Macaca mulatta: one gene and its partners. The protein of the gene in region 7 interacts with the protein of the main gene of each other region in a pairwise test. Links are inferred from orthologs where the notes say so. Each region holds a gene or a part of one and is shown on either strand. Other genes may lie near its edges.

Region 1 (2,992 bases), on a different chromosome or scaffold from region 7:
TGTATGTCTCCTTCGTGGCAGTCATTCTCAACTTTGGCTGCACATTGGAATCATCGGGACCCTTTAAAAAAATCCAGATGACAGAGCACTTAAATTAGAATCCCTAAAACAGTGGGACCCAGCTACCAATTTTTTTTAAAGCTCACAAGCTAGTTTCAATTCCAGGATAAAGAACAGGAAGATTGAAATGATCTCTGGTAGTTTCTAATGGAACGGTCATGCCTCCTCTCTGACATGAGCTGGTTGTTATTCCTCAGTGTGCTACAGCACAGCCGTTACAGACTTTTAAAAATGTTCTGGTGTTTAGGGCTATTTCTGCTGCCCAGGAAGAGGAAGATATATATTAATAAATGCCATTTCAGAGGGCTGGTTGAAAACAACCAAGAACTACTGTGATGGGTCGATGCTGTCCTTATGTGGCATAGATGTATCCATAGGGAAAAGCCGAGTATCAGAGCAGGTCATCATCATTAAATATTTATTGAGTGCTTACTGTATGCAAGGCACTGGGGATACAAAGAGGTATAATTCATGGCTCTGCCCTTAAGGAGCTCACAATCTAGTTGGAAAAACAAGACATATATATACATACAGAAATCATTAACAACACAGAGGCCTGAACAATTGCCAAGTGGACAACAGTACAGATAATAAAGAAGCAAGAAACGGGGTTCACTAAAGGCTACAGTGGGGAAGGGAGTGCTTCACTGAGAGAGTGGGACTTGAACTGGTATTAAAAAGAAGAGCATCCCAGGCAAAGAGAACAACACTCACAGCTCAGAGGCAGGAACACACTCTGCGGGTCTAAGAAATGAAGAGTTAAATGTGGCTAGAATGGAGGTTTGGTGCGGGGCTGAGAGAGTAATACTCGTGTACGCAGGAAAGGATGCATTTGTTTTACACATATTGTATGTCTGAGGGGCTGGCAGGCCTTGCAAGTGACAGTGTCTATCCTCTCAGATTTGGGAGGTCAGCTATTAATCAGACTGTTCTCCCAAATCTTTAATTTCATGGACGTACCTTCCTTCTTTTCCTAATGCCAACTCTGTTTCCTGGGTAGGTGTTTCACTGCCTGAATGAAATCCTAGATCTCTGTCACAGTTTTTGTTCGCTGGTCAGTCAGAACCTAGGCCCACTGGATGAGCGTGGAGCCGCCCAGCTGAGCATTCTCGTGAAGGTGCGTCTGCCTGGAAGTATGCAGCCTTGCCGAAAGGACAGAGGTGGTTTTGTCAATGGAGAATTCATGATCTTTCCTCTGAGTCAGTAAAGCATTTCCTCAATACACACACGTACAGAAATAAGATATAAAGATAAAAATGTTGGTATCAGTTGATTTTGAATCAGGTAATTACTGTGCTACCTCAGAGTGCTCAAAAATAGTTCAGTCCTGAATAGTTTATTCAGCCCATCAAATAAGCATTGGCTTTGTTCTAACTTCCTCACATCCTACCCCTCTTTACTTCCTTGAACTAACCCCTATCTCACTGAGATAATTATCTGCTTGTAATCAAAACGGGTTCTCCCCAACCCCAGTACTTGACAAAATACATTAACTGGAAACCAGCTACTAAATTCCTACTGGTGAAAGAGTACTTTCATAGGAAGTCATGCATGTATGGATTTGGTACAAGTCATTTTAAGAACTAATAGAAATAGGAATGTGGGAAGGCCAGGTGGTTCTGTAGAATTTTGAGCAAGGCTTTTCCAAGAAACTCCTCCCTCCGCCCCCATCCTCCATATGGAGAGTTGGTGAGCTGAAGTGGAATGACAGCTGAGTCCTTCTCTCTGCAGGGCTTTAGCCGCCAGTCTTCACTCCTATTCAAGATTCTCTCCAGTGTTCGGAATCATCAGATCAACTCAGATTTGGCTCAACTACTGTTACGACTAGATTATAACAAATACTATACCCAGGCTGGTGGAACTCTGGGCAGGTAGGAGCAACCCTTGGGTAACTCAGTAGACTTTTGTGGGTGACTTTTTAATGAGTTGCAGAATTCTAGAGCTGGAAGAAGACTTTAGCCATCATATAGTCCAAATACGCTCATTTTATATAAACAAGGTTTAGAGATAGAGGTGTGACCATCTTTAATAATTTTAATGAAGATTATTTTCTAGTAGAAGTCATCATCATCATCATAAAATACTAAAAAACCTGACAGTGAGATAGGTGTTAAGTCCTTTGCTAGGTTATGTATTGCTATGCTGGGAGGCAGTGTGCCTTCCATTCCCAATTCTGATATGAACTAGCTGTGCAGCCGTGGGCACCCCGCCTTGCTGGTCCCTAGCTTCCACATTGGTGAAAGGAGGGGACCACCCCTTCTAACTCTAAACTTTAAGTGAGATTCAGTGGTAGCTGGCTTCCCAGAGCTCTGTCATTCCCATTCAGAAAATCACTTTATTGTCCTTTCTCTCTCTCAAATGTCTGCAAGTAGACTTTTTTCTAAGCTATTTTAGCAGAAGAGTCAAAAGAAACTCTTGTTTTAAGACGACATTATTTAGACCACAGGTTGTCCTGATTCATATTTCTTTGAAGGCAGTCTTGGGAAAGCATGATACTTAATAAGGCTCTTTTTCTCTTTTGTAGTTTCGGGATGTGAAAAGTTATGGCTCATAAACTGAAATAACAGCCACGTTCCCAAGTTTGTACCAGAAGATTCAAAACAAACATCCCATTCTAGCCAAACACAAATAAGTATCTGTGGCCTAGTGATAGGACTCTACCTTTTCTCCTGGAAGCAGTTACTGAACATCCAGGAGTACAAATCCTTCCCATCATTCCCATGTGGAAAGGCCTGTCCCATCAAGGAGAACATGTGGCATCTCTGATCCTTTACATTGAGAACATTTGTTGGATATGTTCGTTTATTCAGTAGTCATTTATTGAGCACCTACTGTACATGCCTTGGTACTGTTCAAGCTGTGGGAGATATAGCAGTAAACAAACAATATAGAGCAGAAAGTTAAATATTTTATGGTTCATATGTGAAAAAGT
Region 2 (4,130 bases), on a different chromosome or scaffold from region 7:
GCCCCCTCCCTTCCCCACGGGCCTTTCCCAGGGTCCTGCCGCTGAGCCCAAGCTCAGATCGAGGTTCACCTGCTGTAACGGAGTGGTGTAAGTAAGAAGGAAGTGTGTTCTCCCTCACGTATGAGTCTGAGCGAGCACTCGGGGACGGCGTGGCTCCCTCGCGTATGAGTCTGAGCGAGCACTCGGGGACGGCGTGGCCGCTTGGCTGCCCGTAAGGCCCCAGCCCTTTCCATCTTGTTGGTCGGCCACCTGCCTCGTGGTGCGAGGGGACTGCCCCACGTCCAGCCGTCGCCTCTGCATTCCCACCAGCAAGGCACTTCTTTTTTTTAAGAACATGTCACTGCAGCTCACATTTTACAGACCAGAACTAATTCCCCTGGTCACACCTAGCGGTAAGGGCGGCTGAAAAATGGAGCCTGTATGCTGGTGCCCGTATGCCAGGCTACAAGCCAGGGCTTCAGTTACTAAAGGAAGAAGGGGACGTGGGTGTTAGGGCCAACCAGCAGAGTCTGCCTCCCGTCTCACCTGACACCCGCCTGTCCCGTTTACCCTAGACATCATCCATAAGTTCATCCGGGATAAGTACTCGAAGAGATTCCCTGAACTGGAGTCCTTGGTCCCCAATGCACTGGATTACATCCGCACGGTCAAGGTGAGAGCAGAGGAGGAGCGGTGCTTCTGCTGGTGTGAAGGTGCAGGCAGGGCTCACTCTTGGACCCGCCCCCAGAGGCCTCGGGGTCTGGAGGTGAAGGAGAGGAGTGGACGGAGGCTCAGTGGCCTGCTCTGCCCAGGGTGAGAGGGACGGAGCCTGGATGGGACTTTCTCAGGGCTCCCCTCGTACCCCAGTCTCCCGAGAGGGCTTCCCCGCTGGCCTGACCCGCGCTGCTTCCGCTGTGGTCGGAGCCGGTGGCATTGGAGTTGACATCCGAAGGTCGTCACAGGGCAGGCACGCGGAGATTTGGGGGAGAGAGATGTGTTAAGTATGGAGAGCCGGAGAGGGAACAAGCGGGGAGGAAGTGAGGCGGGGAAGGAGGGGACGCGGAAGAGGTCGGATCACACTGAGCCTTTGGGTCTTATGAGAAAGCCAAGGAAGGGTTTCGGAAAAGAGGGGCGGATGCAGGTGAGGGCAGGGAGAGGAGGCGGTCCCCACGTGTGTCCGGGAAAGGATCAGGATGGTGGTGGGGGAAGCCCCCGCAGGGAAGCGAGGCCGCGGGTTTGTGCTCCGACTCGACACAGGCAGAGGCTTGTGAGGCCGCGGTCTTCCCAGACGCTGCTCTGCCCAGGTTCCGTTTCCAAAGCAGAGCAGACGGTGTGGATGCTTCAGGCGGTGGAGGCAGGAGAGGCCCCCAGTGTAGAGACCCTGACTTTCCCAGTGTCCCCGAGAAGAGACCCGAGTAGGTGCAGGGCCAGAGAGGCTCTCAAGCCTTCCTGAGTTCCTGAGCCTCCCCTGTCTTCTCTGCTCGCGCCCAGGAGCTGGGCAACAGCCTGGACAAGTGCAAGAACAATGAGAACCTGCAGCAGATCCTCACCAACGCCACCATCATGGTCGTCAGCGTCACCGCCTCCACCACCCAGGGGTATGTCCGCTGGAGGGAGGCGCCGGGCCCGGGCCAGTGGGACTGGGGATTAGGCTGAAGCTACCCACGCAGGTGGGCATACACACACACGCACACACACACACACACACACACGTGCACACACACACAACTGAGAGGGTGGGTGCTGGGCACCAAGCAGGCGGGAGACCCAGGAGGCTGGGCCCACCCGCCCCTGCAGGCAGCAGCTGTCGGAGGAGGAGCTGGAGCGGCTGGAGGAGGCCTGTGACATGGCGCTGGAGCTGAACGCCTCCAAGCACCGCATCTACGAGTACGTGGAGTCCCGGATGTCCTTCATCGCGCCCAACCTCTCCATCATTATTGGGGCGTCCACGGCCGCCAAGATCATGGGTGAGGCCCTGGGCTGGGTCCCATGGAGCGGGACTCTGCTGACACTGTGATCTGGGGGAAGCTGCTTCCCTTTTCTGTAGAATGGGGACTTTGGCACCTGGGCCTCAACACCCCGTCTCCCTGGACGTGACAGAGGTCAGCCAGCCTGGCACACAGCAAAGCCTCGTCTGGGAGAAACACTCACCCACAGCTCCTCCTCCCTCCCCTGTGCCGGAAAGCCAGAGATGACCACACCCAGGCCCTGTTGTCAGGGGGCTCCTGGTTTGGTGAAAATGGTTCCAAAACACAGACATCCCTGGAATGGGGGTAGTGTGGCTTAGCACAAACGTGGTGGTCAGTTGCCTGTTGGGGGCCTCCTCCCTGCACCCCAGGCCAGCTGCCCTCCCTCTCTGAGCCTCCTTTGCGTCTGCCCCTCGCGGAATGGGCCAGGTCGCCCGCCTGGCAGGGCCACCGAGGAATCCAGCCAGAACCTCACGTAAAGGTGCTTGGCACATGTCGAGCCCCCAGGCAGATGTGCGCACCCCCGCCTCCCCCGCTTTCTTCTGACCGCCCCTGTCCTCCTCCCACCGCAGGCGTGGCCGGCGGCCTGACCAACCTCTCCAAGATGCCCGCCTGCAACATCATGCTGCTCGGGGCCCAGCGCAAGACGCTGTCGGGCTTCTCGTCTACCTCAGTGCTGCCCCACACCGGCTACATCTACCACAGTGACATTGTGCAGTCCCTGCCCCCGGTGAGCCCACCGCGTCACAGCCCCTCCCCCGGCTCCCCTGGAGCCTTCCGCCTGCCCAGACGGCCTGAGCAGCCACCCCCACCATCTGGCCCAGCTGACAGTAGCACTCAGGAGCCGGGGACAGGGTAGCATGGGATGTGAGAGCCAGGGTTCTGCAGCACACCTGTCGGGTGACTGTGGGCAAGAGGCGTGAGTGCCCTGTGCCTCAGTCTCCTCCCCTCGAAAATGGGAGCACAGCGCCTGCTTCACGAGTTGGGGCGAGGGCTCCATGTAGACGAGGCCCTCACAAGGCAGGCCTAGCTCACGACAAGCAGCGTCGGGTTAGCAGCTGCTCCGAAGGCCACCGTCACTGGAAAGACACGGAACCCCTGAGGGCTGCTGTGCTGGGGACTGTATAACAGATTAACATTAGCCACAGGGAGAGACACACAGGAGGAGCAGGAGAGGTCACCAACCTCGGAGGGCGATGTGTCCTCTCCCCGCAGTCAGGACACATCACCCTCCCGGCATCGATGCCTGACAGCACACACAGGGCCGCCAGCCTCACACCCGTAATCCCAGCACTTTGCGAGGCCGAGGCGGGAGCATCACTTGAGGCCAGAAGTTGAAGACTAACCTGGGCAACATAGTGAGACCCCGACTCTTTTTTTTGTCTTGATTCCAATGGGATTGGAAACACCCTGTCTCTACAAGAATAAAAAACCCGGTGTGGCAGCGCTTGCCTGTCATCCCAGCTACTTGGGAGGCTGAGATGGGAGGATACTTTGCGCCCGGGAGGCGGAGGTTGCAGCGAGCCAAGATTGCACCACTGCACTTAAGCCTGGGCCAGGGACGCTTGCCTGGGCCGTGGTGTTCAGTCTTTATTGTGGCTCTGCTGTGTAGACACGACTGTGTTGCCGTGTGGCTGGTCTGTCTCCAGGTCAGGTGATGCCCCATAACTCAGAGCCCCCACGCTGAACCACGTGGTTGGGCTTTCCTGCGTGGCCAGCCCCAGGCACCCTAAACCACACTGTGGCTACCCCAGGGCCCCAGCCAGCAAGGACCGCCACCCAGGACCCCCGGGCAAAGGCCAAACCTCTTCCTGGGCAAGGCGAAATTCTCTGCCACGCGGAGCCGCTGCCAGTGTTATTCCTGTGACTGTCATCTTCAGTATCATTTGATTCTGTGGCAGCGAGTTTCACATCATCCTCCTGATGTCTCCTAGAACACAGGTCATCTCCCTTCAGTGGCACAGACCATGAATTTCAGTGACACAAAGACGGTGGTTTTTATTTTAATCACTGCATACTTATTTTTATTGAATAATCTCCCATTCGTGGTAATGAAATTAAGCTGTCTAAACAGGTTTGCAGTTTTTAAAAGCAGACTAAAAGAAAACATTGACGACTGGTTATCATCAGAAGGCATTTTAGTCATAGCAGTGGTGGGAAAACGCGCAACAAGCAGAGCTGGCT
Region 3 (4,657 bases), on a different chromosome or scaffold from region 7:
CCATCTCGGCCAGGTTGGTCTCAAACTCCTGACCTCAGGTGATCCACCCGCCTCGGCCTCCCAAAGTGCTGGGATTATAGGTGTGTGCCACCGTGCCCAGTCTGCCATAAAGATTTTATGATGCTTTAGCCATTTTTTTAAAATTGTGCACATACATTCCTAATTTTAGGAATTAATATAGCCATTTTTTAAAAATTGTGCACATACATTCCTAATTTTAGGAATTAATAATAGGAACTAAAAGGCAAAAGGAGAAATCACATTTATAAACTCACACGTTAGAGCAAAAAGTATTTTTAAATAAAATTATTTGTTAAAGGTTATAAATTGCCAATTTATATTCACTAGGTAAGCTTTTATTTTCAAGAGGAAGAAAGGCCTCTTCCCCATTTGAGTCCCAGTTTTTTAAACTGACCTGATTACGTGGCTAAGGTATTATTGTGAGGTATTAATGTTTTCTTTTGTTTTTCCTTCCCCTTCCTCCCCACCCCTTTTCCCCCTTTCCAGAGTTTTGTTCTGTGGCATTGCCTTAGGTAAGTACATGGCAGGGCAAACAGCAGAGGTGACAGCAAATCTTCCAGATTTTCACTTTGTCAAAGTAAGAGAGACTGAACTGGGGCCATGAGAACAGAGACAATCCAATTACTGTGTAATTCATAAGAGTTTAGAACTGACTCCTTGTGCACCCTTTTTCAGGCCCTTTTACTAATGGACTTTTCTCACTTGTGATGATCTGGGAGAGCGAGAGTGAGGAGAGTCTAAGAAGAGTTCAGGCTAATTATTTTCCCACTAACCTGGCATAGGAGAGGTTCATAGAGATTAAATTATTTACAGTAAATAAAAAGAGTAATATTGCTTTACATTCTGTTCTGTAGACTGGGATTCACACTCACCACAATTATTCCTGATAACAGTCTGCCACACACCTTTCATTTTAAGCAATTGAAAAATTGTACCAACTTTTCTCTTTAAATTTGCTTTAAAAGCAAATTCAGAAAATTGCTAGAGGGTCAAGAAATTACACAGTCCAACTCCATTATTTGATAAATTGTACAAAAAGCAAACTAAGGCAAGAATCAACTAACTTTCAAAGTTCACGAAGAGGGCACTCTGGAAGTTGATAAACCACCACACTATATAAATTCCACTACCTCTTTATCTGTAATGAAAAAAATCAAAGGTTGACTTTTTTTTTTTTTAACTACTCACTGTATTTTTAGAAAGATAGGGCAGAACCACTGTAGAACTCCTAAACCCCACAGAACAAACAGTACATTCTGGAATGATACGCTGGCCAATCCGGCTGGCAGCCGATTGACCTGACCCAGGCAAGGGTTGGTGCATAGAGTATTTAGTTCGGCCCCCTACTGAATGAAGACACTTTGTTAAATTCTCCAATGAGAGACGCTTAGAGGTAGGGGCGTGGAAGAGGGCCGGGGAATTTGACGCCAGATAACGGGAAGTGTGAGCTGATTGGCCGGGCTTCTCACTCCACGGCCCAGCCTTTTACGGATAGCGGAGGCCATCCATCAAAAGAATTACACCAATCAGAGTTGAAAATGCCCCCTTCTCGCGAGAAAGCCCCGCCCTCCAATATATTCCTCTGCAGGGCAGGCGCGGCCCCTTCGGCTCCGAGCTGACCCTGATCAGGGCGAAGTCGTCTCGGCTGCGCTGCCGAGACCTCCACCCAGGACAGCGCCCCCTCCCCGGGCCTCTCTCCTCTTGCCTACGAGTCACCTCTCCTCGTAGTCCTCTTGGATCTAATATCGTGGGGTGAGGGGAGCAGGCCCGGGGAGGGTGGTTACCGCTGAGGAGCTGCAGTCGCTGTCAAGGTGAGTGGGACTGCGCGGGGGTTGACCGCCAGGTGCGGGTGGGGAGCGGGGTTGGGGACGTGGAGCGAGGAGTAGGTCTGGCCCGCGCCCTTTTCCGCAGTTAACTCTACCGCTGCTGTGAGCACAAGCCCAGGCTAGTCCGGGGCTGGAGGGGCGGAGCCGGATCCGGCCTCCTGGGGTGCCTTAGTGTCTGCCGGCCCAGTCCCAGGGAGTAGCCAGGGGAGGAAGAATGGAACCCCTGCAGTTAGAGGTTCCTCACATGACCAACTCTGAAGATCTCCGCCTTCCTGTCTTTAGGTTGGTGTGGAGAGGGACCTTCCGTGTATCTAGGGCTTAGCTTGTGCCCGGGACATGGTTGTGTTATGCACACTTAAATCAATGGAATTCCCAGGTTCACCTTTCAGACTAGGTTAGCAACACCCACCGCCCCCCGCCCCAGTGCGTGCTCTTAATGCCACCTTTTAAGTTTCCTTTCCTAACAACAATAAAAGTTGACTAATATTGAGTATTGTATGCCAAGAACTGTGCTATACTCTGTAAGTGGTGAATCTTGTTGTCTCTTCACATTCAGCGACAGATATTGTTACCCTCATTTTATAAATCTAGAAATAAGCTCAAGCTCATTATTGTTCAGTGTTTTTTAGGCACCTACTATATGTGCTAAGCTCTTTACGTGATTTCATTTAGGTCACACAAATCTGTGAGGTAGGTCATAAACCTTATCACTACTTTATAAATGAGGAACTAAGTACAATTAAGTAACTTGAACCGTTCATGTTGTTAAAATGTGGCAGAATACTTAACTACCATCTGCTTTTCACTTTCGGTATCCTGTCTTACGGTGATTATTCGTGGTTATCTATTGACAAGGTATAAGTTGAACAAGTATTTCTTGAAGATTTGCATTTTATTTTTCTAAAAAGCATGTTTCCGGCCGGGCGCGCTGGCTCACGCCTGTAATCCCAGCACTTTGGAAGGCGGAGGCGGGCGGATCACGAGACCAGGAGATCGAGACCATCCTGGCCAACATGATGAAACCCCATCTCTACTAAAAATATAAAAATTAGCTGGGCGTGGTGGCGCACCCCTGTAATCCCAGCTACTTGGGAGGCTGAGGCAGGAGAATTGCTTGAACCGGGGAGTCGGAGGTTGCAGTGAGCCAAGATCGTGCCACTGCACTCCAGCCTGGCAACAGAGCGAGACTCCGTCTCCAAAAAAAAAAAAAACACACATTTAGGATGTGACCAACTTGTAGAAGGGAAATAAATAACAGATGGCACTTTGCAATGACTTAGATGCACTAGCCGCATTGGGGGATGGGAGACTTATAAATCATTTCTTGGCCCAGTGCAAAGATGGCCAAGGAAAGCAGGAAGGACTACTTACACTCCTTTCTGGTCTTTTTTTCTATATATAGATGATAGAGGTACTGACAACAACTGACTCTCAGAAACTGCTACACCAGCTGAATGCCCTGTTGGAACAGGAGTCTAGATGTCAGCCAAAGGTCTGTGGCTTGAGACTAATTGAGTCTGCACATGATAATGGCCTCAGAATGACTGCAAGACTAAGGGACTTTGAAGTAAAAGATCTTCTTAGTCTAACTCAGTTCTTTGGCTTCGACACAGAGACATTTTCTCTAGCTGTGAATTTACTGGACAGATTCCTGTCTAAAATGAAGGTATGTTTGAAGCTACACTTTTGTAATTTTGCTCAGTGTGTTTTGGAGATGGAATTGTTACCTTTTGGCTGATACTCACAAACTTGACCTTTTTTATTTTCAGCACGTAGCCAAAACATTAATTTTGTCTACTACAGCATTAATATGATTTCTTATCATAAGAGTACATCAGGTATTAGACTTAAATTCTGAAATGAAAAATAGTCTAATATCAAGTAACTAATTGCAGTTTCCTAGTAAGAAAATTGGCTGTTTTTAAAAAACCCTTCTTGATAGGTTGGATTTGTCCATTTATTTACTATTTTTAGATATAAACAAATGTATTAGTGGCAGATATTTATTAGAGGCTACATTGTGGCTAAGAATATACTTCTTAATCACTACCCATATATAAAATTGTAAATGTTATAGCCTTAGACCTAGTCAAGACTTGCTTATGCTTGGCATTTCCAGCTTCAGTGTACATGCAGTGGGGAGGAGAGTGTATCTGAAGGAGCAACTATTTTTCTATACTAGATAAACAAGACTATGTCACTTTCAGAGCTTAACTGTTACAAATGCATCTCCCTTTCCCATACACCTATGGTCACTGGAAGAAAAAAAGATATGTGGCAATTAGAAGGAAACTCATATTTTAGTCCTTGGTATCTAATACAGTGTATCACAAGAAAGGACTTCAATATTTGTTGAAGATTCAAGAAATTTGCTTCAATAGACTAATTAACCTCTTGACATTTCACATGTGTAGTTACTACCTTTGAATCTATAAATGTTACATAAATGAATAATATGTAGCTGTCCCCTCAGGTATAATTCAGTCTAATGTGAGAATAAGATCATTGCTCTTATGTACAAGTCATAGTAAGAAAAGTAACTACCTTATTCTTTTAAAGAGGTATAAGTGTACTGCTGAAGAGGTTACAAGAAGAGAGAGAGCACAGAGATATTAATACTGGTAACAGCTTAGTTTCGTGTGAGCTGGACGTAAACAACTGGATAAAGTTTGACTGTGCCTCATACTGCAGACATTCAGAAAATTAAATGATAAAGATTACTAGTGGATAGAACCCTTAGAGGCAGAGTAAACAGTATATGCCATAGTATTTTAAAACTGTTTTATGTGTTCCCACAAAGACAAGAGCCT
Region 4 (3,088 bases), on a different chromosome or scaffold from region 7:
TAGTGAACTCTATTTTTCTCCCTTTTAAAATGTTGAACTCATAGGTTTTCATAAGCTAAGCTGATACCATTAACTAATTTTGTTCTCTTTTTTGATGTTTAAATTGTCCCTTAGGAGCTGATCAGGTTCATTCTTCCGTTCTTTAAGTATTACCCCCAGAATATTCTTGAAAGTATTCTTGCTCTCTGGCAACAACACCCATACTTCATTTATTTCCTGTCCCTAAACGTACACTCAACCAACTTCAGGTTCCTTTGAATGGAGTAATCACTTATTCATTCAGCATATGTTGGGTGCCTGCTCTGTGCCTCACACTGTTCTGGTCCCTGGGGATAGAGCAGGAAACAAAAAAGACCAAAATCTGCCCTCATACGGCTGACATTCTAGTCAGGGGAGATAAACAATAAATGAATGATGTAGTATGTCAGATGTTGACAGTGCTATGGAGAAACCATATCATGGAGATCAGAAGCATTACCTGCAATGAACAGTCGTGATTTTAAGAAGAATGGCTGACTGGATGTGAAGTGTGAGAGAGAGAGGAGTCCAGGTTTTTGGCTGAGCAGCTGGAAGGATGGAGTTGCCATTATCTGAGATGGAGAAGATAGGGGAGGAGTAGATTTGGAGGGGAAGGTCAGGAGTTTAGTCTGGAACCTGTTAAGTATGAGGTACTTATTAAACACTGAAGTGGAGTTTTAGAAGATGTCATTAAAACTCCTAGTCAAGTTCAAGAGAGAGTTCTGGGCTAGAAATAAAAACGTGGGAGATATTGGTATATGCATGGGTTCATACTACTTTTTTTTCCCAATTTAACATCCTGTCTTATTGCTCTCTACTTTTCCAACAGTATTTAGTTTCATTTACCCCTCAAACTGACTCCTACATTGACAGCACAATAAAATCCACATTCCTTATCATTATATCAAGACCCTGCCTGATCTAACCTCCTCCTACCTCTTGGACCTTGTCTTACGCCACTTTCCCTCACCACTCACTTAATTTCTAATGCTCTGACCTTACTGCCTGTCAAACAGCTCTTTGTTGCCTCTTGGCCTTTTTGTGGAAAAGGCCTTCCTACTGCTTAACCATTAGGCATTCTTCGGTTCCTTCTCATTCTTCATTCTTCAGAAAGGCCTTCCTTGACCCTTTATATCAATTAGGATTCTTTTGGGTGAGATCTGATCCAAACTGGCTTAGAGAAAAGGAGTCAACTGACTGGTTCATGTAATTCAACCTCCTTCCTCTGCCACAACCTTCCCTTGGCTCCCATCTCACTTAAGGTCAAAGCCAGGGTCCTTACCATGGCCTTGTAAGCTTCACACAGTCTGCCTCCCTCATTACCTCTCTGACCTCACCTCTTACATTCCCCCTTCACTTATTCTCCTTCAGCCAGAGTGGCCTGTTTGCTGCACCTCAAACATGCCAGGCACACACCCACCTCAGTGCCTTTGTGTTTGCTGCCCCTTGTGTGTGGAACACATCCTCCATATAGCCACCCTACTCAAAATTCACTGTCTTTTAAGTCTTTACTCAAGTGCTTCTCAGTGAAGCCATCCCTGAGCCCTCTATTTAAAATTGCAGCCCCCCCACTCCCATACTCCTTATTCGCTCTCATTTTTAAATTTTTTTATTGTAGTTAGAACCATCTGACACAACATTTTTTATTCCATCAGTTTTCTTGTCTGTCTCTCTTTACAAGAATTTGAAGTCCATCAGGCCAGGAGTTTTGTTTGTTGTGTTTGCTGCTATCTCCCCAGTGCCTAAAATCGCCTGGCATACAGTAGGCATTTAATAATCTTTGAATCAGTGAAAACCAGATGGTGGCTTGGCATTTCTGCATAGGAGTGAGCCAGGTGGAAATCATCCAAGATACAAGTAGATCTTGAAGTGATAAGGAAGGGTCCTCCTCATACTCATAAGTGGGGACCATTTTGCCCTTTGTTTCTTTTCTCTAGGCTCAGCAACAGCCTCACCAAGGACTCCATGAATATCAAAGCCCATATCCACATGTTGCTAGAGGTGAGAGCAGCTCACCCCACTACCAGACTCTGTGTTTAGGGTGGTGACCTGAAGAAGGGGGAGAGCGAAAGAAGGGAAGGACCATCTTTCCCTTTAAACTGGAGTCAAGGGAGGGAGGTCAGAGCAAGCCTGGGGGCGTAACCCAGACTCAATCTTTGTTCAGTCTCTTCTGTCCTCTTTTTCAGGGGCTTAGAGAACTACAAGGCCTGCAGAATTTCCCAGAGAAGCCTCACCATTGACTTCTTCCCCCCATCCTCAGACATTAAAGAGCCTGAATGCCTTTGAGTCACATGGCCCTTCTTTTTCCCCATAAACCCTGCTGGTTGCCACGGGGGCCTGTTCCTAGGGCACAAAGTTACTGAGAGACCCAGAGATCCAGTCTCTTTCTGTGGAACCTCTAAAATGCCCCAACAGTCCTGCCTCCAGCCTGTTGCCTGGCAGCATTTGCCAGTTGACCTTGTGCACTGCCCTCTCTCCTGTCATTTTGGCAACCTGGGCCCCCACCTCACCCTTCCATTCCTTTTCCTAGACACCACCCATTGAATTGCCATAGAGAATGGGCCAATTCATGGTGGAGGTTTGTTCATTCCCACAACAATCAAAGGGCCCTAAGGTTTACCCTTTCACACACCCAATCGTTACCCTAAATCCATCTCAGCCCTACCTTGTCCTAGCCCCTGCTATTGTAAGTGGTTCCAGCTTCCAATAGGCACGGAGCTGGATCCCGCTCTCCCTAGTCCGGCCCCTATTCTAGGTTGAGTCCAGCCTCCGCCAATCAACGCAGAGCCAGGTTCCTCCCCTTTTTAACTCTGGCCACAGTTCAACCCTGCCCTCTGAAGGCATTTCGTTTCTGCCACTCAATGCTCCTTCGTGTGCCTGATAGCCATCCTGCCCTCCTACCGCCGCTGTGTTCTAAATTCGTCTTCTACCCAGCTCTATGGTCTTCTCTAACCAAAGAATTGCCCTGCCCGCCTACGCGGAGCCCAGCCCGACCCACTCCCGCCGACTGCTACGCCCATTTCTATACAAGTCCTGCTTCCGCTGAGCAGCGTGGCGTGCGGCACCACCC
Region 5 (4,711 bases), on a different chromosome or scaffold from region 7:
AGTGAACAGAGGCAGGCCTGCCAACTGACCGTGTGGCACAGGGCACAGCTGTTCCCCAAGTGCACACCTGAACACTTGGAGGAGTAAAGTTCTGTTTTTAATTGTGGAGCCGGACACAGGCTGTTGTGGTTTTATTGTCCTGAGATACTGGGCAGTGTACAGGGATCCCCCACCCGACTGGGGTCAGGCCACTGCCTGGTGGCTGAGCCACCCTAGTGCAGGCAGTTCGGGGACAGGCAGGGTGCTGGGGGCCCAGCACTGGGGTCCTCGAGGCCTCCTGTACCCTGGCTGCCCTCCCAGCAGAGAAGCAGGCTTTCGCCCATTTCATGGAAAGCACCTGTGGCTTTGTTCTTCATGCTGAGCCGGCACCCTCCCCAGATGGCTGCCAGCCCTCGCACCGCCCCAGCTGACCCAGGGGGTTCCCTGGAACAGGTGACCTGGCTACCCAGACACGATGGCAGCCCCCACAACTTTCACTGTCCTTTTGCGTGGGCCTTTCTTGGCATAAGACCAGCCCCCATCTTCTCCGTCTGTCCCCTCACTCCCTTTCCTTCGTCTCTGTGGCAGCAGCGCCCCCAGGCCCTTTGCTCTCTGGGTTTCACTCCCTCACTGGAAGCACCGTGGGGCCTCAGCCCTCGGCACCCGGCAGACAGGACGGTCCCATGGCCGGCCGCGCTCCTGAGCATGTGTTGCTGTGCCTGGTTCTCTAGCAACTGGTGCCTAGTCTCCTGGTGGCCACTCTGACCTGTGGGTTATTTAGTGGTATATTATTTAATTTCCAAATATTTAGGGATTTTCCAGATACCTGTTACTGATTTTTAGCTTCCGACATGGTTAGAGAACATGGTATGTGTGTTAATTCCTAAGGACGGACACCACAGGGAAATCACTGGGGTCCCTCGTTTTACAAGCTGGGGAATCACTGGGTCATGAGGGCCTGGTGCCAGCTCGGGCCCACTCCCCAGCAGGGCCCAGGACGGCGTTCCTGCCTGCACACTCGCTCATGCTGCTGGTGAGGGGCCCAGCCTGGAGTGTGGCATTCCCAAGAGCCCCAGAGGACCCCTAACTCCACTCCTCACTGCGTGATGTCAGGCCTGAGGGCCGGGGGCTGGGAACGGTTAGGCGAGCTCCGCACCAGCTTCCTGGCCTTCCAGCCTGGCAGCCCCCTTCTCGAAGCTGTTGGGTGGCAACTCGGTTCGACCAGCTTTACCGGTGAGGCGGGGCCTGGGGGCTCCCCAGCCTGCAGGGATGAGGCTCCAGCAGCCCCACGCTGAAGTGCATAGTTCAGGGCAGACCCTGCTGCCCGTTGTCTGTGGATGGGGGGCGGGCTGTGCCCTGCCATCACCGGTGCTTCTGAAGCTGGTTTGGGGGACCCTGGGAGTGGCCTCAGTCCTCACGTGCATCCTGGAGAAGAGCAAGGATGCCTCGTGACAAGGATAATGATACCGAGCGACACTTCTGAAAGGGACGCTTCTCCCCCGTGTGCAGCTGGGTGGTGGCCGGTGCCATGGCCCCTGGCAGGCTGCAGTGGCCTCCTGGGCTCCATAAGGTGGGCTGCAGCCCTTTCATGACCAAGGCGTGTGCTGGGCATGCTGTGTGGCTGTGTGCCCCCTGCACATGCCCTGCCCCGCTGTCCTGAGATGCCGGCGAGGGCAAGGGTGTCCGCACAGGGCAGAGCATGCCCTCCTGAAGAAGCCTCCAGAAACCTATGACCAGGTCAAAGCGGCTGGGTGCGGTCTGGCCTCGTCCAGCCTCCTGGGGGTCTCTGCTGTCTCTTCTACTTGCCAGGTGCCCGGGCTGGGCCTCTGGGGCATTCTCAGGACCCCTGGCCCCCGGCCAGGCTGGGAGGGCTGAGAGCAGTTTTCCTGTGGAGGGCAGAGGACTTCCACTTCCGTCTGCCTCTCGGGGCCTCCTGGGCTGCACGAATCAGAAGGCAGGCCACCAGGGACTGTCCCCCTGTGGGAGGACTGGCGGGACTGTGGAGTTAAGCCATCAGGAAGTGCACAGGCGTCCGGCACGCTCCTCCCTCCCTGCAGCCCCAGGCAGCATCTCCCCGAGGCTCCGCGTCCCAGGCTCCTGGTGCGTCTGCCGTGCAGGTGGCTCCTTGGAAGACCCTCAGGTGGGTGGGTCTGGTACTTTTCTGAAAAGTGACCAAGAAGGTCGGCGCCGGCTTCGTTCAGAATCCTGGCGCTGATCCCCGCAGAGCAGCATGAGGCTTCCCACAGGCAGCCAGGCAGCCTCCGCCGCGCTGCCCCATCCCTTTCATGGCCACTGGGCGGAGACATGTTCATTTCAGTGGCATTACGGTGGCAGGTGGGACCCTGCATTTCAGGCTGGGGAGGCAGGAAAGGGGCCCAGTGTTCCCAGGACTGTCCGCTGTGTGGCCGGTGTTTCTATTCAGCCCCTTGTCTGTCAAAACTGTCCTGAATGGGGTGACAAAGTACAGTGGGAAGTTGAGAAATTCTTCAAAAGACCAAGACCAAACACTTCAAAAGACCAAGTGTCTCCAGGAGTAGTGACCCAGCTCCTTTAGGCAGGAAACCAGCATTTCCCAGTGGGGCTGGAGGCTGAGGACCGGGGACCTGCGTGGGAGGCAGGACCATGTGGCTGTTCCCAGCCTTGCCCCAGTCCCAGAGGGAGTGGCTTTCAGCGGCTGAGGCTTCCACCGTGCTGGCAGAAAGGGACAGCAGTGGCTGGGCTGGTCCCAACATGGGTAGTTCTCTTGTTTCAGCCAGTGGGATGGGGGTCGGGCCTCATCGGGGGCAGGAGAAGAGTCCAGAGATTGACGGGTGCCCGTCACCTAAGAACCTGGAGAAAACAGCACAGCAGCACTCCTGGCCAGCCAAGGGCAACACCGACAGCCCCTCCCAGCTTGCGGGGCCGGCGGGGAGTGACAGAGGCACGCTCCTGTGGGCAGCTCTTCCCGGCCAGTGCAGCGACCCTGGCAGCTGGGGCAGGGCTGGGTGGCCACTCTTGCATCATCAACAGCCGGCCATGGAGGAGGGAGGGCACAGCGCGGGATGTGAGCAGGCGTCGGTCAGGGAAATGGGGAAGTTCCGCCAGAACCGGCTCCCCCAGCTGCTGCCCTAGTGGGAGGGTCATTGGCCAACCTGCTCTCACCCAGCTTGGGCTGGCCGTAGTGCCAGGCAGGTGCCCACAGCTCCTCCACCCATGGAGGTGGCTGCCCCTGTAGGCTCCAGGGCGTGGTGGGAGTGTCCAGGAGGCGGAGGCCAGAGGCGAGTCATGCCGTGGAGGCAGTTCCTCTCTCAGACCCCATCTGTGTCTCCCCCGCTGCATATCTGGGTGACACGGATGGCCAAGGGGCAGGAGCAGGGGCTGGGAAAGGCTGTGGAGGGGCCCTCGGCTGGTCTGGCGGGGAGCGGGTCACTGTGTCTCTGCCGCCTCCCTGGGGGATCCAGCATGGGGATGGGACATGGAGCTGGGTACCTCTCCTGGATGCCCCTGGGCTGACCCCCTCGACAGCCCTGACGAGAGCCCTGGCCCAGCGTCTGAGAAGGAGCGGGAGCCGGGCCTGGGTGGGGGCAGGAGCCGGCGTCACTCTCAGCGGCTGCCCCACACCCCCCAGCCTGCCTGCGAGGCCATGTCGGACTACGAGAACGATGATGAGTGCTGGAGCGTCCTGGAGGGCTTCCGGGTGATGCTCACGTCGGTCATCGACCCCTCGCGCATCACGCCCTACCTGCGGCAGTGCAAGGTCCTGAACCCCGACGATGAGGAGCAGGTGCTCAGTGACCCCAACTTGGTCATCCGCAAACGGAAAGTGGGTCAGTGCTGCCCCGCAGGCCCCAGGTCCCAAACCCAACCAAGGAGCCCGCTTGGAGGTGGCTGCACGCTCTGCCACCCTGACCCTCGACCCCAGGAGAGCCCCGCCTGGCTTTGCCCCTGGCCTCCCAGTGAGGCCCAACCTCAACCCTGGCACATGGCCACCCTATCCCCCAGCCTCTCCTGCCAGCTCGGTGCTGCCAAGAGGGGCAGTGGGACTCCCACCACAGCGGGGGCTCCTGAGACAGCCAAGGGATGGGTGGACAGCACTTTGTCCCCAGCCTAGTACCAAGACCCACAGGGTGCCTCATCCACGACCCAAACCACAGCACACCTCATCTGCATCCCAGCCTCCACCTGTCCCTGCCCCCGGGCCCACCCACCCCAGCCCTCTGCCTCGCCTGTGCCCCGCCCCCAGTTAGGCCCCTCTGGCCCGCAGGCGTGCTCTTGGACATCCTGCAGCGGACCGGCCACAAGGGCTACGTGGCCTTCCTCGAGAGCCTGGAACTCTATTACCCACAGCTGTACAAGAAGGTCACGGGCAAGGAGCCGGCCCGTGTCTTCTCCATGATCATCGGTGAGTGACGGGGAAGGCGGTGGTGGGGGCGGGCAGTGGTGCTGGGTCCTCTGCCCAGCCCCCATCCCTAGGAGCCCTGAGCTCCTGCCACAGCGCAGGGCGTGATAGAGCTGGGCCACCGGGGAACACAGGCACCGTCTAACGCTGGCGCGGCCCACAGACGCGTCCGGGGAGTCAGGCCTGACTCAGCTGCTGATGACCGAGGTCATGAAGCTGCAGAAGAAGGTGCAGGACCTGACCGCGCTGCTGAGCTCCAAGGATGACTTCATCAAGGAGCTGCGGGTGAAGGACAGCCTGCTACGCAAGCACCAGGAGCGGGTGCAGAGGCTCAAGGAGGAGTGCGAGGCCAGC
Region 6 (4,216 bases), on a different chromosome or scaffold from region 7:
GCAGCATTCAATGCTTGCTCCCCTTGGCTCCTGAGTCCCCACATTCTCAGATTTCTCCTGGTTGTTTCTGCTCAGCTTCTTTGATAGTTCTGCTTCATATCTCCCCTACCTCCACCTCGTGGAATGTCCCAGGGCACAGTCCTGATTGCTGTCTCCCTCTACACTCATTTCCTCCCACCCCACCTCATCCAGGCCTATGGCCTTACATACCATCCTTTCACTCACTATTCCTCCCAGATCCAAGGCTCCAGTGCTGATCTCTGTCCTGAAGTCCAGAGTCATACACCTAGCAGCTGACTCTGCAACTCCTCTTGGATGTCTATCAGGCATCTCAAGGATTACATGTCCATAAATGATCATTGGATTTTCCTCTCCAAATCCACTCTTCTCCAGTCTTTCCCAGATCAGTTTATGGCAATTTCATCCAACCAGCTGTTAATGCCAGAAATGTAGGAGTCATGCTTGATGCCTCTTTTCCTGCCCACATCCATGCATCAGCAAGACTTGATTTTAGCTCCAAAGCATACCCCAAAGTGACCCCCCTTCAGTGCACCTGCCCTGCCCAGGCCTAGGCCCTCCCCTTCGTTGCCTGGATGACGGCAGGGGCTTCCACTCTTATTGCAGAATCCTTTTCTGAAAGCAGCTGGGATTATCTAAACAAGAGCTAGCCCAGGTCATTCCTGCTCAGAGGCCCCCATTGCTCCTCATCACACCAAGAACAAAACCCACATTCTGCTCTAAGGCCGTTAGAGCCTGGTTTTGCTGACCTTTTCCCTTCTGCCGCCACCACCAATCACAGACACCTGGGCCTTCTTTATGTTTGGCCCTGTCCAGCTCCTGTCCCTCGGGGTCTTTTCCCTGGCTGCTCCTTCTGCCTAGAATGCCCCTCCTCTTGATTGCATCCTGATGTCACCTCCTCTGAGATTGCCCTTCCCCAGGCTAGCCCATGGCCCTCATTCCCTGGTATTTTCCTGTAGCTGGTATGTCCAGTCTGTCTGCAGCTACACTACTCTTGAGCCTAGCCTGTTTGATAGAGCAACCTCAGGAGACAGGCTCACCCCAGCACCCACCCTCAGTCTGCACCTGGTACCGGCAGAGGGCATGCCGATGGTCGCGGGTCGCCGCTGGACTCGCGACTAGCCGAGCACTCCCCACTAGAGGGCAGTCCCGTCTAGCTCGGTTGGAACGCGGCTGAGGCCCCGCCAGTGCGCTGCCACAAAGTCCCACCCTCTCTGAGTCCTCAGGCCGAACCCCACTTCCATCCTGTTCAGGGAGTGCCGAGGCCAGCCTCAGGAATGGGTCCCGTGGGTCAGGCCCCGAGTGGGCCACAACCTCTCTGGGTCCGACCATACGGGGCGCTCTGCCTATGTGCGGGCGCAGCATGACGCCCCGTTAGAGGGACCGCTATTTCACCATTGAACAAATGGGGAGGATGAGGCCCCCGCACGGAGGCGACCTGTCCTGCGTCACGCAGCAAATGCAGGGTCCACACAACCATCTGGGGGCTTGGGTATCCCGGGCCCGACCCCGTCCGGCTTCCAGCTACGACCCCGCCCTTCCCCCAAGAACGGCGGCGGAGTCCGGAGGGACGCCGGGTTTTAGCCCCTCCCCCTTTGGCCGTGGGGCCGGGGCGGGGCGCGGCTGCCAGATGTCGGGGCGGCGGCGGCGGGAGCTACGGAGAGCGAGGAGCCGCGCAGCCAGGCGGAGGCTGAGGGCGCCGCTGGCCGGCCCGCCCAGCCCTCTCCGCGCGGCTCCGCCGGGGTTCCCAGAGGAGCCAGCAGGCTCAGTTGGGGCCCCGGCACGGACATGCACAGCGCTCGGCTTGACAGCTTCCTCAGCCAGCTCCGCTGGGAACTGGTGAGGCTCGGGAGCGGGTGCGGTTAGGGAGGACGCGTGCGGGGTGCCAGGCTGCTGCCCGGCCGGAACAGCAGACGGGTGCGGGGTGGCTGCAGCGTGCCCGTCCGAGGCGGGATGGGGGCGGCGCGGGGTGGGGGCGGCGCGGCTCATATGGCTCAGATGGTCCGCGTCGGATTTCGGAGGGTTGGGAACTGCGCTGAGCATCAGATAACAGCATCCAGCTGGCCGTGCTGCTGGAACGGCGCGGGAGGAGAGAGTGGAAGGGGAACTTCTTTGGGGGTGGGGCATGGGGCGGCAAGGGACTAACGAGGTGCTAGCACTGCGGTGAACGCCCCGTACTTCAGGCTGGCCTATGCCTCCCTTCTCCACCCCTCACCTAGCAAGCGCTCTTTCTGTGAAAAACGCTTTGGGCTTTGGGAGCTGAATCCCCCTCCAGTCCTGGGCAGGACCTACTTCCCTGCTCAGGCCCACAACACTGCCTGCCCGCCCGCCCGCCCTGGTGGCGGGTGTCGACTTGCCCAGCCCTGCGTGCTGCAGCCTGCCGGACTGCCACCAGGTCGGTGAATGAGAACCACACCAGCTTCGAGTGCCAGCACCCCATGCCTGCCCTGTGCTCACTAGCACCCTGCTGCCCAGGCCAGCAGGCCTATCTAACCCTCCTGGACCCTCTGTACTCTGGGCTGACCTGGTGACAAGTGATACCTCTCTGACTTCTGCCCTCTCTTCCCCTCAGTTGTGTGGTCGGGACACAGGCTCACCCCCGATGCCTGGTCCCCTGCAGCCAACCCCCCAAACTGGCCCAGATGTGCAGCCCCGCCACCAGCTTAGGGCCTCAGGTGCTTTGGAAGAAGACTCAGTCTGCTGTGTGGAGGAGGAGGAAGAAGAGGCAGTGGTGACAGAAGACAGGGGTGCAGCCTTGGGAGGCCCCAGGGAGCATGCCCTGGACTGGGACTCTGGCTTCTCGGAGGTGTCAGGCAGCACATGGCGAGAGGAAGAACTACCTGTTCCCCAGCGCCCAGCACCCTCAGCACAGCCCCTTCGTAGGCAGCGCCTCTCAGTCAGTGGCCTCCCCATGCCCAGCAGGGCCCCTGTAGCCAGTGTACCACCTGTCCACCGTCCACGGCCCAAGTCCACCCCAGACGCCTGCCTGGAGCACTGGCAGGGACTGGAAGCAGAGGACTGGACAGCAGCCCTACTGAATAGGGGTCGCAGTCGCCAGCCCCTGGTACTGGGGGACAATTGCTTTGCTGACTTGGTGCACAACTGGATGGAGCTGCCTGAGACAGGGAGTGAAGGAGGTGATGGAGGTGGGCACCGTGCCCATGCTCGGCCCCCTCAGTTCCTGCTTGGCCTCTCCGAGCAGCTTCGGCGCCGGCTGGCCAGGGCTCGGCGGACAGCTATGGCAGGAAAGCGGCTGTCATGCCCACCTCGCCCAGAACCTGAAATGCCTGCGGATGTCTCACGCTTCGCAGCCCTCATGAGCTGCCGTAGTCGCCAGCCCATCATCTGCAATGATGTCAGCTACCTCTGACCCTGCCCTCCAGCCTGGGACAATAAAAGCCTTATTTCTAGACTGTCCTGGCTTCATACCCCTGAGGCACTAAGAGGCAGCCCCAGCCCTGTGAGGCACTGCCCAGGCAGACAAATCTGAAGAGCTTTTTGTCTCTGTGTGAAGGTCCCTGTCATGCCCATGTCACACCTGTGTGCATTAGTGCACTGTGTTCTATCATCCATCCTCTCCACTATGCCTTCCTTCAACAAGCATTTATTGAGTGCCTACTGTGGGCTTACAATGCAGTGCTTGGGATCCAGGGCTCCATTGAGCTAGGTGATGGGGTGGCTGCCTTGTCACAGCTCATAGTGCAGAGGTGGAAAGGCAGTGTCTTCCTCTTCACCCTCACAGCTCAGCTCCAGCACCAACACCCGCAGCCCAGGAGCAAGTACCTGGCCTGTCACCTGCTGAACCAGTTCTGTCACCCTAGTGGGGGTGGGGTTTAGGGGAGATTGGAGAGGTGAGCAGTGGCAGGCAGTGGGCAGCCTGGCATGGACTAGAGAGGGTGCTGGCAGGCCATCAGGAGCCCAAGCCAGGAGCAAGAGCTACTCAAGACAGGAAACATCTGAAACTATTTTAGGAGCAGCTGGTGAGGCAAGCAGGAGGCAGGAAGCTATGGGTCCCTTGGGAGTGGGCTGTGAAAGGGGGGCTGTGCAGCGTGTGGGGAGCCCATGGGGCTGGCCAAGTAGGCAGCTCCTGAAGACTCCTCCTCAGGCTCTCGGCCCTCACCCCACCTCCAGCCTTTTTTGCTGGCTCCATTTGGCAAAAGAATGCTTGGGAAGATGTGAGGAGCCCAGAATGGGGCTG
Region 7 (4,130 bases):
TGTTCAAAGCCTGAGGATGTAACTCAATTCAGCTATCGAACATGTTAACTTATTTATTCCATATCACTCACAGAAATGCACAAGTGATATGCACAAGAAATGGGGAACATATCTCAGGCCTTTATTTATCAAAATTTGTTTTTCATTCTATATCTTGGGAACTAAGATGGTAGCTTTTTTGTTTCTTCTAAAGAATGGCTGAAGTAGCTCCAACAATACACTTAAATGACTTCTCCTCAACATCTCGGATGAGGTTAATGAGAAATAAGAAGCAAAGGAAAAATATCGACTATCTATAATCAATAAAGCAGGTGAATGCAGGCAGGCTTGGCTTGCAGAGTTTTCTGTGCTGCTCACCAAACTGTCGAGAGTTTGGTATAAATAAGGTACATGACTGCCCTGTGAGAAGGCACGTCCCTCTCACCTGCTTCAAGACCTCTATGTAATCCACAATCCACACCCAATGCTCCATGTTCACTTTTGCTGGACAGGTAAGGTAGCAAAAACATTTCTAAATGACAGGGAAAAATAAATCACTTGCACATTCTCAAAGGAAGTTTCCAAGACTTCAGACCTTTGGACCCATAGACCTTTGTCTGTGATTTAGTTTCAGTAACTTCTCTGGCAGTGATTTCCAAACTTTAGGATATCATGGACCAGTCAAATTTGAAAGCACACTTGGATCTGCTAACATTTAAACAAAATTTAAAAGAGGAATTACAACAAAACAAAGTAAAAAGGAGACAAAAACGCTCCAGCGGTCCAGCAACCATCTGTCACCCCCAAATTTCTTACAAAAACCAATATTTCAAATCAAATATAGTAAAAAGTACACACTCTTAATATGAAGGACCATCCCCTGAGTTGAATAAAATTAGCTTTATTTAAAAATTACCATGTCATCCTGAGTTTCTTTCCTTTCTGGCAGGTCCATGCAAACTTTGCCAGGATATAGGAACCACTGTATGACTTGATCTAATGCTCTATGATTTTATATGACTGATCCACTCCTTAACAGGAAACTTAGTGAAATACAGTCACATCATATTTATCACTCATATATCAGAATATCTTTCAAATAAATAAGTTTATTTGCCTTTTAATGAGAAACCAGGTAGGAGGGCCCAAAAGATAGGTTTTGATTTTAATGAATATATATGCCTTATCCTAAATCTTCTGCCCTGGGGCCTCAAAAGTGGAGACAGGGTGGGTTTTGATATTAATTTTCCCTTAAAAGGCAAACAAGTAGTTGGCAATCTGATCGTATAAAAAGATCATCCCAGCACCACCCTTGTGGAGGTTTTTGTACACTTCAGGGAAAGGAGGTAGCAAACGTTACCTTTGGAATGCACATTGTGGGCTCGGACAAGCGAGGGTAGGTGTAGGAGTTGTAGGAGTGTCCTTGGGGATGGGTTTTAAATGCACTTGCTCCAAATGGCATCATCGGTTCCTGGAGCCCCGAGCCTGACCTGGACCTCTGCCGCATGGCGGGCTGGGGGCTCGTCTGATTCAGGTACGAAGACTTCGGCCTCCTGTCATAGTCATCCAGGCTGGGTCCCCATTCACTTTCACTGTATGCCAAGCTCTCCTTGGAGCACCCGCTGGTCCCTGCAGTTCTAGAAGGTGTGAATTGGAATGAATAATCCAGAGGGGAGCTACTCGAGGCTCTCTGATACTCCCACTTGAGGTCACTATATTCACTTGGTTTGCTCAGTGAGTCCAAATGTGAGTGATAATCAGCAGAAAATCTGGCGAAATCGGATTTCAAAGGCTTCATCTCAGAATAGTAGGCCTCCCCGTGCTTCATTTTCATTACGTGCCCATTTTGTTTGGCTGCATGGCTGCCTCTATAATACGGATCCAGATCGTCTCCATAGAGACTCTTCTCCCTGTACTTTTCGGTGGTGTAGTCAGCAGTAGTATCGGATTCGCTGGAATACTGGGAGAAGGTGATGAAGCCATTTTCTTCCGCGTGGCCTGGACCGTGGCTGGAGGCTCCCTGATCTGGGGTGGGTGGGCTTTCTTTCCTTAGGGAGTTGGAACGAGTCACCGAGATGTTGTCAAAATCCTCTAGCAGGCCGTTGATGGAGGTTTCCTTGCAGGGTTTGTTTCCTCTAACGATTGTCTGGGGATAATAAAAGGAATACTGTTTGAGGAAAATATTTCATGACTTTAAGTTGACGGCGGCATCCCACCCCCACTCCATCCAGAAGGAAATTAAACTACAGAAGGAAAAAGACCCCAGGAACACTTAATACAAAATGACAAAGAAAAAATCGTTGATTAACTGTAGTGGTGAAATAAATGAAATAGTAGACAATAATCTCAAATTGCAATTTTCTTCCTACCTATCTCAATAGAGACATCAATTAACCACCAAAAAGCCATGTACGAGACTACATAGGCTCTCACTGTTTCATTTACCAGTTTACAGGCAAATCCCTTCCCCCTGCTTCTTCTACCTAAATAATAAGCCCCAACCATCTATAGATGAGCTGATAATTACAATTTAACACTCTATAACTGTTTGGTAATAAAAAATAATATTTATTACTGTTTTACATTCATTATTCAGATGATTTTCAAAACCAGAAGGCATTGTCGCCCAAGTATTAACATAACTAGAAATGGGTGTACATTTTTTACCCTTATATGGAAGACACATAATAACTGAGGTTATGAAATTTTATAGATGAGGAAGGCACTTCTTGAAACTGTAATTAGGAAACAGCCTGAAGATTATTTGTGTGATTTATGATGAAATGTGATATTCTTATTAAGTATATATACTTATACTATACAGCTTGTTTGCTCTGGCCACACTTCTGCGTAACATCATCGCTGAATTTTGGGTGGCTTAGTAATGATGGTTGCACCTGGATCTTAGTGACAAATTGTTCCCTTTAATGAACCTAAATAACACAAGAATACCAGGAACTGAAAGACATCGCAAACCACTTACAAAACCGTCAGCTGTTCCTTGACAATGACAGGATTCGCAGGAAAATATGATGGGGGTGGATAAAAGAACAAAGAACAAAGTGTTGTGACTTCAGACTTCCAGGATTTTAGGAGAAAAATACCTTTGAGCAACTAGCAAGGAGTTCAAAACCATCTTGGATGGTACAATAGAAGACTTCAAACTGGAGGAGGAAGTCAAAGTTTTCCTGGAGCTGATGTTTTATAAATCTATCCATGGTGAAACAGAGGCTTTATTTTTTTTTCTCTCAGAGTCCTGGACTAATGCTTTTGTTCTATACCCTTTTCTTTCAAATACATTTTTTGTTCTAGAATAGTTTTAGATTAACAGAGAAGTTGCAAAGAGAATACAGAGTTCTCATAGACTTCTCATCCAGTTTCCCCTTCTGTTAATATCTTGCATTGCTATTAAGGAAACTCCATGTTCCTATAGATTTCATTAATTTTCTTCTAGCGTTCCAGAGTTCTATCCAGGATATCTCGTTACATTTATTTGTTGTCTTCCGAGTTTCCTCTGATCTCTGACAGTGTCTCAGATTTTCCTTATTTTTTGATGACCTTGACAGTTTTGAGGAGTACTGGTCAGGTATTTTGCAGAATGTTCCTCAGTTGGGGTTTTCTTGTGTTTTTCCCATGTTTAAACAGAGGTTATTTGGTTTGAAGAGGAAGACCAGAGAGTAAAGTCACATTTCATCACATGATGTTCAGGGTACATAACATCGACATGACTTAGTAATGATGATGTTAGCCCTGACTACCTGGGTGAGGTCGTATTTGCCAGGTTTCTTATACACACAGTCCCACTCCCCTCCCCTAGCTTTCCATATATTGTATTATTTGGGAACAAGTCAATAAGTGTAGCCTCTACTCAAAGGGCAGGGATTTAAGCTCTGTCTTCTGGGGTGTGTGTGTGTATGTTGCGGGGTATCTATATAAAGTAGTTGGAATTATTCTGCACAGACTTGCTTATTTGCTCCCATTTACCTACTTATTCAATTATCTATTTATCTATAAGGATGGATGGACTCATGGTTATTTATTTTATACTTTGGGTTATAAGCCAAAACTATGTTATTTGCCTTGCTGCTCAAGTGGTTCCAGCTTCTGTCACTGAGAGTTCTCTCAGGCTGCCTGCTGTGTCCCTTTCACAA

The links.
Region 1: the proteins of PAK5 (region 7) and TUBGCP4 interact in a two-hybrid assay, tested with the Homo sapiens proteins (2 studies listed by BioGRID and IntAct). The two-hybrid records come from large-scale screens. The link is inferred for Macaca mulatta from reciprocal best matches to the Homo sapiens genes PAK5 and TUBGCP4.
Region 2: the proteins of PAK5 (region 7) and PRPF31 interact in binary tests that used the Homo sapiens proteins (3 or more experiments, as listed by UniProt). The two-hybrid records come from large-scale screens. The link is inferred for Macaca mulatta from reciprocal best matches to the Homo sapiens genes PAK5 and PRPF31.
Region 3: the proteins of PAK5 (region 7) and CCNG1 interact in binary tests that used the Homo sapiens proteins (3 or more experiments, as listed by UniProt). The two-hybrid records come from large-scale screens. The link is inferred for Macaca mulatta from reciprocal best matches to the Homo sapiens genes PAK5 and CCNG1.
Region 4: the proteins of PAK5 (region 7) and UXT interact in binary tests that used the Homo sapiens proteins (3 or more experiments, as listed by UniProt). The two-hybrid records come from large-scale screens. The link is inferred for Macaca mulatta from reciprocal best matches to the Homo sapiens genes PAK5 and UXT.
Region 5: the proteins of PAK5 (region 7) and CARD9 interact in binary tests that used the Homo sapiens proteins (3 or more experiments, as listed by UniProt). The two-hybrid records come from large-scale screens. The link is inferred for Macaca mulatta from reciprocal best matches to the Homo sapiens genes PAK5 and CARD9.
Region 6: the proteins of PAK5 (region 7) and INKA1 interact in binary tests that used the Homo sapiens proteins (3 or more experiments, as listed by UniProt). The two-hybrid records come from large-scale screens. The link is inferred for Macaca mulatta from reciprocal best matches to the Homo sapiens genes PAK5 and INKA1.

The regions. Positions count from the first base shown.
Region 1 is NC_133412.1:20,787,285-20,790,276, forward strand, and holds part of TUBGCP4 (gamma-tubulin complex component 4), read left to right. Parts: intron 1-1,060; coding exon 1,061-1,177; intron 1,178-1,791; coding exon 1,792-1,931; intron 1,932-2,584; coding exon 2,585-2,597; 3' UTR 2,598-2,992. UniProt on the Homo sapiens protein: Component of the gamma-tubulin ring complex (gTuRC) which mediates microtubule nucleation.
Region 2 is NC_133424.1:66,350,950-66,355,079, forward strand, and holds part of PRPF31 (U4/U6 small nuclear ribonucleoprotein Prp31), read left to right. Parts: intron 1-549; exon of another isoform or gene 550-554; coding exon 555-652; exon of another isoform or gene 653-739; intron 740-841; exon of another isoform or gene 842-1,470; coding exon 1,471-1,577; exon of another isoform or gene 1,578-1,776; coding exon 1,777-1,946; exon of another isoform or gene 1,947-2,241; intron 2,242-2,518; coding exon 2,519-2,676; intron 2,677-2,839; exon of another isoform or gene 2,840-3,292; intron 3,293-3,751; exon of another isoform or gene 3,752-3,876; intron 3,877-4,130. UniProt on the Homo sapiens protein: Involved in pre-mRNA splicing as component of the spliceosome. Required for the assembly of the U4/U5/U6 tri-snRNP complex, one of the building blocks of the spliceosome.
Region 3 is NC_133411.1:172,255,439-172,260,095, forward strand, and holds the start of CCNG1 (cyclin-G1), read left to right. Parts: upstream 1-1,621; 5' UTR 1,622-1,832; intron 1,833-3,249; coding exon 3,250-3,513; intron 3,514-4,657. UniProt on the Homo sapiens protein: May play a role in growth regulation. Is associated with G2/M phase arrest in response to DNA damage. May be an intermediate by which p53 mediates its role as an inhibitor of cellular proliferation.
Region 4 is NC_133426.1:47,674,918-47,678,005, reverse strand, and holds the end of UXT (protein UXT), read left to right. Parts: intron 1-1,955; coding exon 1,956-2,019; intron 2,020-2,204; coding exon 2,205-2,258; 3' UTR 2,259-2,304; downstream 2,305-3,088. UniProt on the Homo sapiens protein: Involved in gene transcription regulation. Acts in concert with the corepressor URI1 to regulate androgen receptor AR-mediated transcription. Together with URI1, associates with chromatin to the NKX3-1 promoter region.
Region 5 is NC_133420.1:6,136,072-6,140,782, forward strand, and holds the start of CARD9 (caspase recruitment domain-containing protein 9), read left to right. Parts: upstream 1-1,635; 5' UTR 1,636-1,708; coding exon 1,709-2,119; intron 2,120-2,631; exon of another isoform or gene 2,632-2,713; intron 2,714-3,285; exon of another isoform or gene 3,286-3,433; coding exon of another isoform or gene 3,434-3,586; coding exon 3,587-3,785; intron 3,786-4,222; coding exon 4,223-4,360; intron 4,361-4,520; coding exon 4,521-4,711. UniProt on the Homo sapiens protein: Adapter protein that plays a key role in innate immune response against fungi by forming signaling complexes downstream of C-type lectin receptors.
Region 6 is NC_133407.1:113,277,036-113,281,251, forward strand, and holds INKA1 (PAK4-inhibitor INKA1), read left to right. Parts: upstream 1-1,604; 5' UTR 1,605-1,631; intron 1,632-1,676; exon of another isoform or gene 1,677-1,699; 5' UTR 1,700-1,806; coding exon 1,807-1,857; intron 1,858-2,590; coding exon 2,591-3,388; 3' UTR 3,389-3,431; downstream 3,432-4,216. Other genes in the region: UBA7 (ubiquitin-like modifier-activating enzyme 7), read right to left, coding at 3,706-3,835. UniProt on the Homo sapiens protein: Inhibitor of the serine/threonine-protein kinase PAK4. Acts by binding PAK4 in a substrate-like manner, inhibiting the protein kinase activity.
Region 7 is NC_133415.1:74,414,067-74,418,196, reverse strand, and holds part of PAK5 (serine/threonine-protein kinase PAK 5), read right to left. Parts: intron 2,126-4,130; coding exon 1,340-2,125; intron 1-1,339.